Linked DNA regions of Rattus norvegicus. The protein of the gene in region 3 purifies or fractionates together with the protein of the main gene of each other region. This does not show direct contact. Links are inferred from orthologs where the notes say so. Each region holds a gene or a part of one and is shown on either strand. Other genes may lie near its edges. The genes, in order: Tsr1, Stau1 and Rps2.

Evidence for each region.
Region 1: the proteins of Rps2 (region 3) and Tsr1 purify together in Homo sapiens (affinity purification with mass spectrometry; 3 studies listed by BioGRID and IntAct, counting the BioPlex papers as one, with this or other methods). This does not show direct contact. The link is inferred for Rattus norvegicus from reciprocal best matches to the Homo sapiens genes RPS2 and TSR1.
Region 2: the proteins of Rps2 (region 3) and Stau1 purify together in Homo sapiens (affinity purification with mass spectrometry; 3 studies listed by BioGRID and IntAct, counting the BioPlex papers as one, with this or other methods). This does not show direct contact. The link is inferred for Rattus norvegicus from reciprocal best matches to the Homo sapiens genes RPS2 and STAU1.

What each region holds. Positions count from the first base shown.
Region 1 is NC_086028.1:60,257,316-60,261,592, reverse strand, and holds the start of Tsr1 (pre-rRNA-processing protein TSR1 homolog), read right to left. Parts: upstream 2,804-4,277; 5' UTR 2,768-2,803; coding exon 2,671-2,767; intron 2,512-2,670; coding exon 2,408-2,511; intron 1,854-2,407; coding exon 1,634-1,853; intron 1,531-1,633; coding exon 1,396-1,530; intron 596-1,395; coding exon 171-595; intron 1-170. Other genes in the region: Sgsm2 (small G protein signaling modulator 2), read left to right, coding at 3,965-4,021. UniProt on the Homo sapiens protein: Required during maturation of the 40S ribosomal subunit in the nucleolus.
Region 2 is NC_086021.1:176,099,885-176,103,498, forward strand, and holds part of Stau1 (double-stranded RNA-binding protein Staufen homolog 1), read right to left. Parts: intron 2,679-3,614; coding exon 2,603-2,678; intron 2,423-2,602; coding exon 2,103-2,422; intron 1,634-2,102; coding exon 1,511-1,633; intron 1,163-1,510; coding exon 1,077-1,162; intron 531-1,076; coding exon 515-530; 3' UTR 1-514. UniProt on the Homo sapiens protein: Binds double-stranded RNA (regardless of the sequence) and tubulin.
Region 3 is NC_086028.1:14,250,526-14,254,301, reverse strand, and holds Rps2 (small ribosomal subunit protein uS5), read right to left. Parts: upstream 2,455-3,776; 5' UTR 2,444-2,454; exon of another isoform or gene 2,310-2,443; 5' UTR 2,307-2,309; coding exon 2,130-2,306; intron 2,051-2,129; coding exon 1,961-2,050; intron 1,794-1,960; coding exon 1,686-1,793; intron 1,632-1,685; exon of another isoform or gene 1,498-1,631; intron 1,435-1,497; coding exon 1,101-1,434; intron 1,014-1,100; coding exon 922-1,013; intron 727-921; coding exon 646-726; 3' UTR 605-645; downstream 1-604. Other genes in the region: Ndufb10 (NADH dehydrogenase [ubiquinone] 1 beta subcomplex subunit 10), read left to right, coding at 64-203, 330-433.

The DNA.
Region 1 (4,277 bases), about 46 Mb from region 3:
TATATGCTCTGAAATTTAAAAAGCAGGGTGGCCCCACAAGGCCTTCCACACTCGTAATATACCCCTCTCCAGCACACAAAAATAAATTCAGTAAAAAAATTAAAAACAATCTCAGGCAAGGAATGTAGCCAAGTGAGTTAGACTCCCAGAAATGGAAACACCAATCTTACCTCCATTGACATGCTTGGTTTCTTTTGGGATTTAACCACTCTAGGATTTAAAGGGAAAGGATCCACAGGCGCGTCTATTTGATTCATTTGGAAATCACCATGTCCAACAATATGCAGCAAACTATTTACATTCAGAGTCCTCCCTCGAATGTAGCCTGAGATTTTCAAGGTGCCCACTAAGTCACTCTCCTCACTAGGCATGAAGTCAGCATCATGGGCAAACAAGTAAGCTCGCCGATCCCGAAAAGCAAGATGCCTTTGCTTCTGGTTAGCCAACTGTCTGAGTAACATTCCTGATTCTTGCTGGGTGTCCAGCAGCAGGAGTTTGTCTTCAGGAAAGCGTTTCTCCACTGTTTTATTTAGCTTCTTTCTGGCATCCGTTTGTCTCTTTGGTGGGAGACTAGGAAGTCCCTGGACAGCTAGCACTGAAAGAAGAGAGAAGAACTTAGGAGCTTAGTGCTCCACTGCTTGAAGATCCCTCTCCAGTTCTTCATAAACCTCCCAACAGCCAAAGAAACGTCACAATGAGTGTTAACTTCCTAGTCCTTTCCTGGGCACAGGACAGCCCAGAAATTAAAAGTTCTCTTTAATAATATGAAAATAGGGCTGGGGATTTAGCTCAGTGGTAGAGCGCTTACCTAGGAAGCCCAAGGCCCTGGGTCGGTCCCCAGCTCCGAAAAAAAGAACCAAAAAAAAAAAAAAAAAAAAAAAGCTAGGTGGCAGTGCACATTTTCAATCCCAACACTTGGAATTGGGTGGTAGGGGGCAAATCTCTGTAAGATCAAGGTTAGCCTGGTCTACAGGAACAGTTCCAGGACAGTCAGGGTTACATAAGAGGAACTTTTTGTCTCCAAAACAAACAAGCAAACACCACCAAAAACTAAAATATATGAAAATAATGTTTAATCTGGACAAGTATAGCCCAGGCCAGCAGAATTCAACTCCTTGATTTACTCCTAAACCAAGTGTTAAACATTACGTCTCAAGGACCAGAGCTGTTAAAAGATAAAAGGATTAAATGCACTGACTGCTCTTCCAGAGGTCCTGAGTTCACATCCCAGCAACCACATGGTGGCTCACAACCATCTGTAATGAGATCTGATGCCTTCTTCTGGTGTGTCTGAAGACAGCGACAGTGTACTTATAATAAATAAATAAATCTTTAAAAAAATGAAAGGAAAATTTACTTTGTTTTCTGGTCTCACTGATACTAGAACACACTTACTATAGGTGGGAAGGCCCTGAGCAAAGAGGCAAGATAGACAATAATCCCCAGTACTGTCCCAGCCTTCTAATGGGTCCAGGAGGAACAGGATGGTATCAGCAACTTTAGCCATGTCTAATAGTGTATGCAGATCCCCTGTATATAAAAGACACCGTAAAAAAAAAAGATAGTTAGCACATTGTAATCAAGAAATAGAACCACTTAAACATAAGAAGAGAAAAGGATTAGATCCCCTAACCTGGTCTTGCATATGTGAAAGACCACCGATGTTTCAAGCTAGGGCTCAGAAGCATAAAACTATGGGTGCTTCCCCGTTCATTCAAATACACTGTTCCCAGGTCTTCGTTCTGAAGCAGTTTAAATGCCTCTGGAAGGCAAATCCTGTTGTGCAGAGGCACCACCAGCACCTGATGTGGAGGCCCATCCTTGCTGCCCAGCTGCCTCTTCTCTGCCAGAACCTAGGAACACAAAGATTCAAGAATATCTCAATCATTTGCTTCACTAGTCATTACATCTTCAAAAGTACAGATGCTGCAACCCCAAAGCACAACTGCTCTCCTTTCTGTTGCTCTGTAAAAATACTAAGGGAAATTTATGTAACGTAAAACATGAGAAAAGATCGGAACAGCCAGGTGTGGTGGCCCAAGCCTTTAAACCGGACACTCAGAAGACAGAGAGGATCTCTGAGTTCTCAGCCGGCCAGGGCTACCTAGTGAGATCCTTTGTTTAAAATCATCATCATCATCATCATCATCATCATCCTTCTCCTCCTCCTTTCCTCCTCCTCCTCTGCAAAAGAGCAAGTCCGTATAAATGAAGATAACCAAGCATTCTCTTGCCTCGTGTATGTATGTGCTGTCAAGGAGTTTGGAGGGGCGTCGTACTAAGAACACGGCCCGAAGGTACCCTGGGTTTACCCGTTTTCGGCCCATTTCCGTGTCACATTTTTTTAGTTTGAGACTTTACCAATCTGAAGCCATGGCCTCACCGCTTCCCAACCCCCACTCCTCACCGCCTCCCTCTTCTGCTTTCGGAGCTGGCTGGCGCGATGCCTCTGGTCTACTCGGCTGAGCTGCTTCTTAAGCTTCTTGCACAGGATTTTCGGTCCTACACGACCTGAAAGGCAGATCAGAAGTGGCTGTTCTCCTCACGGTTAAATTAACAGACAAGAACTTCCCTAAGCTCCTTAAAAAGAGTCTTTGGCACGAGTCCCAAGTCTAATCTCCGGGCACGGGTATCGACTAAGCAGCCCTTCTCCCTCCTCTGTCTACGCACCTTTGCTGTCCCGTTGTGCGGACCCACCGCCGTGGTGCCGCCCGCCTTTATGAGCTTTATTCTGCTGCTTCAGCGGCCCGGAGCGGTGAGCCGCCATTCTAACTGCCCACGTGCACCGAGTAAACACTACTTCCGGGCTGACCCGAGCGTTTCCGGCCCGCGAGAGGGACTTGTCTTTACGCTCCCGTGACCTCTCGCGAGGTTTTTTTCGCCAGCCTGCGAGCGCGGGGTACTGAGTCTCTGCGGACACGTCGTGGTAACTTTTCCCACGCTGCAGTCGTCTGCTGAGAGCTGAAAGACGCCGGTAGTAATCTCCCGGCTTCGTCTCTTGATTAGAAAAATCTACTTTGCTCTCATCTTCCCACCTTTGCACCCTAAAGTTACATCACATGGGAAGAAATAAAAGTAGATTTTCCACGCCGCTCTCTCCGGTCCCAATGAATTGTATAAAGGAATAAAACGTGTAACTGGGTATCCTTTTCTTTCCTCTATGACTCTAATTCCCAACGCGAGTCACTTAGAAGGGACTCGTGTCACCGGCTCCGTTCTGTCTCTTACTCCGACTCGTGCCCCTCTCTCCCAACAATTCTGCAAGATGAACAAAAACCGGACGTGGAGACCCGAAGGAGAGCGAAGGCTTCCTCTTGTGCTCGGGCACCTGCTCTTCGTAGCTCGTGGTCGGGTTCTTGCTTTTCTCCTGCAAGCGTTGCGACTAAGAACTGCTGGCAGGCCACAGGATCCGGAGGAGTGACAGGATCATGTTCGAACCACAGTGACCCAGAGCCGAGACCTTGGCTCCTTAACGCCTCTCCGAGGGGCCAGGAGTAGGGAGCGGTTACTGTGGTTTAGGTTAGGCCAGAAGTAAGTACCTCTTCAAAGTCTGCCCGCTTGTGCAGTGGCGAGAGGCTGACTCCCAGCGCTCACAATGCGGGTTCGCGCCCTCGGGGCGGGAGCGGGCCGGTCGCCATGACAACCATCCCTGCGGCGCGCGCCCGGGCCCGACGCCCCCAGGCGTCCGCACCCGCCCTGACCCCCCCCCCCAGTCGCAGCGCACACACCCCCTCCCTGCCGGCTGTGGGAAGGGGCCGGGCCTGCTGCCTGACGTCTGCGGGGCTCGGAAGATGGCTGCGGAGCTGAGCACCGGGCAGTGGCTGCGGCGGCTGCAGGCGGGGAGTGCAGCGGGCGGGGGCTCCGCCTCGCGTGTGGGGCGCTGAGTCGGGAGGTGCGGAGGCGGTGAGGGCGCACGGGGGCTTCGGGGGCCGCTTGGTGCCGCCTGCCCGCCACCTGCCGCACCATGGGCAGCGCAGAGGACGCAGTCAAAGAAAAGCTGCTGTGGAACGTGAAAAAGGAGGTACGGTCGGGGCAAGGTCTCAGGGGCTCGCACCCCTCCCTGGGCTGGCCCTCGAGCAGAGAGTTCGTGGCACCCACGCGCGCGGCCGCCAGCCCACCGTGCCAGGCGGGGGCGGGGTCCTGTTAGGGCCGCGCCCCACGTCCCTCTCTGCGTCCCTGGCAGCGCCCTCGGCCAGGGTCAGGCTTGCGCCCTGGGGCTTGTTTGCTCCGCCGTTCTCCCGCTCCCCGCCCTGTGACGGCAGCAACGCGGGGAGATC
Region 2 (3,614 bases), on a different chromosome or scaffold from region 3:
GAAACTGAAATGAAAATTACATAGTGTCATCTCAACCAAAGGGAATAATGGAACTAACAGGCATCCATCACTGTTGAAGAGAAAGCAGTGGTTACGGTGGGTGCTACGTGTGGCAGAGTTGCGTCAGTCATGTAGGAAGCACTGGTTTTTCTCTGGTGCGTTTAGCTCCGGGGCCGCTGTAAGGCCTCTCTGGTGTGGCTGTCCCGGTTTTCCAAAGAATCTGAAGAAGCCAGCGTGAGAGTTGGCCACGCTCTCCGTTTCTCTGTCACGAGGCAAAAATAAAAGCTGGAGACACTGGAGCTGCTGGTCTCCTGGTGGATGGCGGAGCACAGCGTCACCAGCAGCCCAGCCCAACCAAGGCCACCACCTGCAGTTCCTTTTCTTCTTTGCCACATTTTTTTATCCACCATGTCTTGGCCCACTGGAGTTATCAGAAATTCCAAATTTTCAAAGCAGTTCTCAGTATTTTCGGTATATATGTTGGGTTTTATAATGGTTCATGGCCAGAATAGGTTCAGCACCTCCCGCACCTTTAAGAAAGAAAAATGACAATGGCAGACATTGAAATGAAAGCTAATCTCCAAAATGCAGCTTGCAAACACCCAAGGCCCTATGTATGGGAACTGATAACATCATCCTAGAAAATGCTGGTACTCGGTGAAAGCAAGTGTTGTGTCTGAGGAAGAAAGTGACAGTGGTGGCTGTGACTAAAATCTGACACTGATGTACGTGCAGATAAAGCACCAATGCACGTAACATTTAACCACAGCTCCGTGGATAACAGTGGGTGAAGAGGTGGCTGCTCCTGTCCACATCTACTAACCCTGCCTTTCAATGGATCCCCGCTCACCCACACTGGCACTGCCTTCTCTCTCTCTCTCTCTCTCTCTCTCTCTCTCTCTCTCTCTCTCTCTCTCTCTCTCTCTCTCTCTGTGTGTGTGTGTGTGTGTGTGTACACTGGCACTGCCTTCTCTCTCTCTCTCTCTCTCTCTCTCTCTCTCTCTCTCTCTCTCTCTCTCTCTCTCTGTGTGTGTGTGTGTGTGTGTGTGTGTGTGTGTGTGTGTGTGTTCACTCACGCTGAAACTGGTCCGTTTCCTGTCCTTGGCATCTCTGTGCTCTGTTGGTCCAACTCAGACAGCAGCTTTAAGATGTTCAGTGCAGCCTAGAAAGATGGATGGAAGGAAGAGTCAAACCACAGGGAACAGACTGGCCTCATGCCGAAAACTCCAGCAAATGGGTGGCAACTTCTTCCCAATGAAATGTTTGAATCCTGCTCAACATAAAACTCCCACGCTTCCCATCCAGTGAACACCAAAGCTCAAGTGTGCTGATTCCTCCTTGTGTTGAACACAACACCCCAAAGGTGGCTGCCAGAATAGAGCAGAAGTGAGGAATCAGACCAGTTGACCGGGTTCCAGGAGAACCATGTCCCTCTCTGAGGCCACTAACACTGAACAAGTACGTGTGCCAGCTCCTGAGTGAGAACTCAGCACCTCCCGGGCCCACATACCATATCATGACAGGACTCCACATCCTTGCCGATGCCATGGCTGACGAGAGGTGGCTGTGAAGAGCAGTTGATGAGAGATACACACTCGTTCTTGTTGTTCTTGGGGAAGTCTTTGTATTCAACCTAAGGAAAACAGCACATCCCCTGCATGTGGGCCCGAGCCTAGAATCTGCAGAAGCCTGTTCTCTCCTCCTCTTCCTAAGGAAACATGTCTTCTCTCCCTTCAGCCCTGGCCTACTTTGCCCCCCACACACCTCCTGGGTGTGTTCATGGCATGTGTGTGGACACTGAGGACAACTTGCTAGAGTTGGTTCTTTTCCACTAATCAAACTACGATTGTTGGGCTTGGAGATAGACACCTTTACATGATAAGCCACCTTCTCATCCTAGACCTTCTTGCACAGAACCACACGGTACACTCAAACTCGTGGACAATCACAAAAACCTTTTCTAGTTTCTGTGGTGCTGAGAGCAGAACACAGGCAGGGTCTTGCACACACTCTACAGGCAACTCTGCAGAAAGAACCTGACCTGACCACACTGTAAGGGTCATCTGAGGCACAAAGGTGACCACGCGAAAGCCAACAGTTACCTGGAATCCCTGGGCTCTGGAAAGGTAGTACAGTTGCTCAGAGGGTCTTGTGCGAGGTCCATGGGGTACATGTCCTGAAGAGATGTTACTCTTTAAAATGGTCTCGGCTGTGGGCGAGGTGCCCCCGTACAACAATTCTCGGGCTATCATGGCAGTTACCGTGGCCTTGGCAGGATTTGGAGCTGCCCTGGCGAAATCTTTGGTATGGTGTCCTTGACTAACCCCGACAGCCTGGGCAACCTCTGGCACCATGGGGAGGATCCCGGCTGGCAGCTGCTGATGGCTAAGATAGGGCATCCTGAACTCATCCTCTTTATTACCTGCAGGGACACAGGCCACCGGTCACCCTCACCACCCCAGAAGACAGAGCCACTCTTACCACCACCATCACAGCACACACAGGAAGGCAGCCACTACCAGTGCTTCAGAAAACTCAACACAAGAACCATACAAACACAGACCACACTGGTTCAACTGACGAGAAAGAGGGCCAAACTTACTGGTTCCATTTTCATCCCCAGGGCTAGGTTCAAAAAATGTTACTTTCCTTCCATCTCCTGGTTTCTTTACTGGAGTCTTAAGAAAGAAAAATGGCAGTGAGCACAGACAAGCACGGAAGCGCTAGGGTCTGGAGAATACCACAACCCCCGCTGTATAAACTCTCATGCTTCCCCGTGGCAGCATCTACTTAGAACAGATCCTGAATGCGGTGTGGGCTTGAAAGTGTTCAGCATGTTGGGAAAATAGGGTCTGTACTGGTGCTGAGCAGAAACACCTACGTAACTATCCAAAAACAGTGCTCCCACAGAGAACACGGAGGTATCTAATGCTGTCAGGCACAGGGAGGGTGCTTATGAGTACTCTACACGGTTCAGGAATGGGAAATCTGGAAGGCAAACCAAGGTCTGCAAACTCCATATGCAGTGGCTGGGTCCCAGGTACTGACTTCCGAGGCAGTGGGATTTATTTATTGGTTGTGAAACTGGCAGAGCTCAAAAGAGGCTCACGCCTACTTTAGAAGACCCCAACATGACAACAGCTGAGCCAGCAATGGCTCAGTTTCCCGCTGACCACTCTGCAGAGTGAGTTCTCAAAGTGGAGTAATATTCAACTCAGAATTCACACAAGGATCCTAAATCTGATCTATAGATTTGGCCTATGCTATCTTGTCCCAGAAAAAGCAAAGCCGATTCAAAGCTAGGTCACGCGGACCCTTTTAGGCACAAGTGACAGTCATTTTAGCCATTCCAATCCCAACCACCCATCAGAAGCAGAGACCAGGACCTCCTGAAATGCACACCCAGCCCATAGTGACACTGAACAGGAGACTTAACCGTTAGGACGGCTCCCAGGACATGGTGGACTGCACAGACAGGAAACTCCTCCTGCAAACACTAATCTCAATTGGAGGAACCCCAGGGGCAGGCTGCTTACTGCAGGGAAGATGAAGCCTTGCCCCAGGCTTGCCCATGCAGGAAGCTAGGCCACCTGGCAGAGAGTCCCAGCAGTCAC
Region 3 (3,776 bases):
CCAGATTCCAGGCTGAGGTAATCTATCCTTCCAAATTTTTGAGCTAGACTCCTACTCTTTCAGCAAAGTGGACCAAGAAATCATCAACATCATCCAGGAGAGACTTAAGGCTTGTCAGCAGAGGGAAGGAGAGAGTGCACTGCAGAACTGTGCCAAGGAATTGGAGCAATTCACCCAAGTGTCTAAAGCCTACCAGGACCGCTGTGAGTGACCCTTTTACCTTGTGGCTTTCCCCACCCTTTCAGCTGTATGATCAGTTTTGGGTCCTTGTTTCCCGCGTTACTAAAACCTGCCTATAACAAGCTCTCCATGGCCCATCTCTCCTCCAGACCAGGACCTGGGAGCCTACTATTCTGCCAGGAAGTGCCTGGCAAAGCAGAAGCAGAGGATGCTGGAAGAGAGAAAGGCTGCCAAGGAGACTGCTGCCGCCTAAGACACCAGACAAAGAACTCTTGTTCATCCACTGCTGAAATAAAATGACAGGCCTGGCCATCACCTGTGTCTCTGTGTCTAAGTTGCACAGCCGCTTAGTTGGGCTCATTTTGAGCCAGCCAGAGCTGTGTAGTTCCAGGTATGGGGGAGACAGACAAAAGGAAAAACACAATTAACAGACTTAATTCATTTATTTTTCTTGTATAAAAACCCTTATGTGGTAGCCACAGCTGGAGCCTGGGTCCTCTGAACAGAGACTCTGGTGTGGGTTTTCACAAGATGGTCAGTGAATTCCTAAAAAGAGAAGGACATTAGTATACAACATGCCCCCAACTCAGGCAACAAAGCTTAAGGCAGCTAAACACACCACCATCTGGTTCTTTTTTTTTTTTCCGGAGCTGGGGACCGAACCCAGGGCCTTGCGCTTCCTAGGCAAGCGCTCTACCACTGAGCTAAATCCCCAACACACCACCATCTGAATCAGCCTACCTGATAAGGAGACTTGGTGAACACAGTCTCTTTCCAGAGGTCAGGGGTCAGGTAGCTGTAGGTCTTGGAGATGGCATCAAAGGTGGCCTTGGCTGTGAAACAGTAAAAGAGTTGGTTTTGTCTTTTTTTTTTTAAGATTAAAACAGCTGAAGAGAGGCCACAATAAATGAGCTACCTACCAAAGTTGCCCAGGGTGGCAGTGCAGCCCCTGGCTGAAGTGTAGCAGTCATCTATACCGGCCATCATCAGTAGCTTCTTGGGCACAGGAGCAGAGACAATGCCAGTGCCTCTGGGGGCAGGGATGAGACGAACCAGCACAGAGCCACAGCGGCCTGTCACCTTGCATGGCACAGTGTGGGGCTTGCCAATCTTGTTCCCCCAGTAGCCTCTCCGCACTGGGACGATCGAAAGCTTGGCCAGGATGATGGCCCCTCGGATGGCAGTGGCTACCTCCTTGGAGCACTTAACACCAAGACCAACGTGGCCATTGTAGTCCCCAATAGCGACAAAGGCCTGTGAAAAGACTTAAGTGAAATGGCTGTAGATACCTCATGCCACCAGCACATCCCAAACAGGACCTGTGGTGCTCCTCTAAGCAAGAAAGGCCACTGTGAGGCCAATCCCAAGTACTGGAGGAACTCCTTTTCTCTCTCTCCCGGTACGAAAGTCACACGGGTAAAGCCTAGTGTAACCATGCAGAGTGAGAGAGTTAAGTACAGCCCTACTGTTCAAACGGCTCTTGCCAAGAAACGATCCTAACTAACCTTGAACCTGGTCCGCTGGCCAGCCCGAGTCTGCTTCTGCACTGGCATGATTTTCAGAACTTCATCCTTTAGAGATGCACCCAGGAAAAAGTCAATAATCTCAGACTCCTGTAAAAGAGATTTTATGGCAAATACATTAAATTCGCTCCCTACCAATGGACAAAGAAGGGTATTCCAATCCTCCTCCACCCTTGACAATAAAATGTGGCAGCACACTTAGAGCCATCTAGATATTCCCGCCCTTGAGTTGTTTATGCACGGACTCATCTTTGTACCTTAATGGGCAGGGAGAACAGGTAGATCTCCTCCAAGGACTTGATCTTCATGTCCTTAACCAGGCGGCCCAGCTTGGTAACGGGGATCCACTGAAGGAAGAGATCAGTCAAAGGGCTGCATCTCCGTGCAGAGGGTGAGCAGCCCGCTCCGCCAGCGGCCCACACCTACCTCCTTGTCTTCAGCTTTACCTCCACGAGCCCCGCGGCCTCGACCGCGGCCACGGCCTCGGCCACGACCGCGGCCCCTAAGGCCGCTGCCGAATCCTCCGCGGAAGCCGCCGCGGCCTCCTAATCCTGGGCCCCCGGGTCCTCCGGGCCCTCCCGCTGCACCGGCGTCATCCGCCATTTGCTAGTGACAAGAGAAGAAAAAGCAAATCAGTAGAACCCCAGGGTCCGCGGAGCTGCCAAAGCTGTGTCCGTCCGGATGTCCACGGATTCCCACAGCCCAGGCCGCAAGATCAGAGCCCAGTAACACAGACTCACGTGTTTTCCCGAAGAAAAAGAAGAGGGAGGCGCTGCGGAAGGGACCTTTTATAGCGAGCCAAGAGCCGCGAGATCTCGAACGTCTATACAGGGCAACTGCAGGCTGTGATTGGCTGCGTCTTGTCCCGCCTCCGCCACGGTCTACTTGCGCCTGCGCACTTCCCCTCGCCGAAGCCGCGAACGCCACCAGCCGGAAGCGCGTATATAAATACTCGCGCCGGCGCTTTGTGGTCTTCCTAGTGTCCACGAGTTCGTGCTTCCGTTTTCATGTCCAGGTAGGTCGCTCCTGATGGGCTTTGACCCAGTAAATGGGCGTTCGTTGAAAATCATCCTCGGCTTTGGCCTGTGGCCGGGGTTGAGAATCGGCGCCCAGAGCCACAGAGGCCTCAGCTCACCCCCTGCTGCCCCAGTGTGGGAGGGTGAAACCCAGGCCCCTACATTCCAGATCGCCTCGCCGCTCCCGCGGTCTGGCTTGGGGCCACAGTCCTAATCACGTCATTTATTTCACAGGTTCCACTGGATCTGAACGTTGTCGCCGCCTCCCCCGCAAGAGTGGCAGTGTTCGGGTGTCCTCTTTTCTCAAAATGAGTTAATTCCACCGGATCTGGACGTTGCCGCTGACTCTCCCGCGAGAATGACAGGGTTCGGATGTCCTCTTTTCTCAAATAAAATGTTTTAACTTAACTGTGTATTAATGTGTTGGACGGTTACCATCAGTCTAGGTGGAAAGTGCATTCTCTTTTTTCTTTTTTTTTTTTTCGGAACTGGGGACCGAACCCAGGGCCTTGCGGTTGCTAGGCAAGCGCTCTACCACTGAGCTAAATCCCCAACCCCGGAAAGTGCATTCTCAACCGGTGTGTTAGTCTCAGCAGTCAGCATCTGGGTACCCAAGGCAGGCGGATTCTTGTGCGTTTTAATGTGCTTTGTTTTGCTTGCGTGAATGTACATCACTTGGTGTAACTGACTCCCATAAGAACGGGTTTTTCTTTTTTAAAGATTTATTATATATAAGTACACTGTAGGTGCCCTCAGACACACCAGAATAGAGCATCAGATCTCATTACAGATGGATGTGAGCCACTGTGTGGTTGCTTGGATTCCAACTCTGGACCTCTGGAAGAGCAGCCGGTGTTCTTAACCACTGAGCCATCTCTCCAACCTAAGAGCGGTTTTGAACCAGTTTTTTTTTCCACTTTTTGGTGAGACTGGGTTGTGCCTTGTACTCTAGGAATGCCCTGAATTTTAACAATCCTACTTCAGCCTTTCAAAGATTGGGGTTACACTGACTGGAGCCTGGGTGTGATTGCCTGTACTGGAGAGGCAGGCTTGCTGT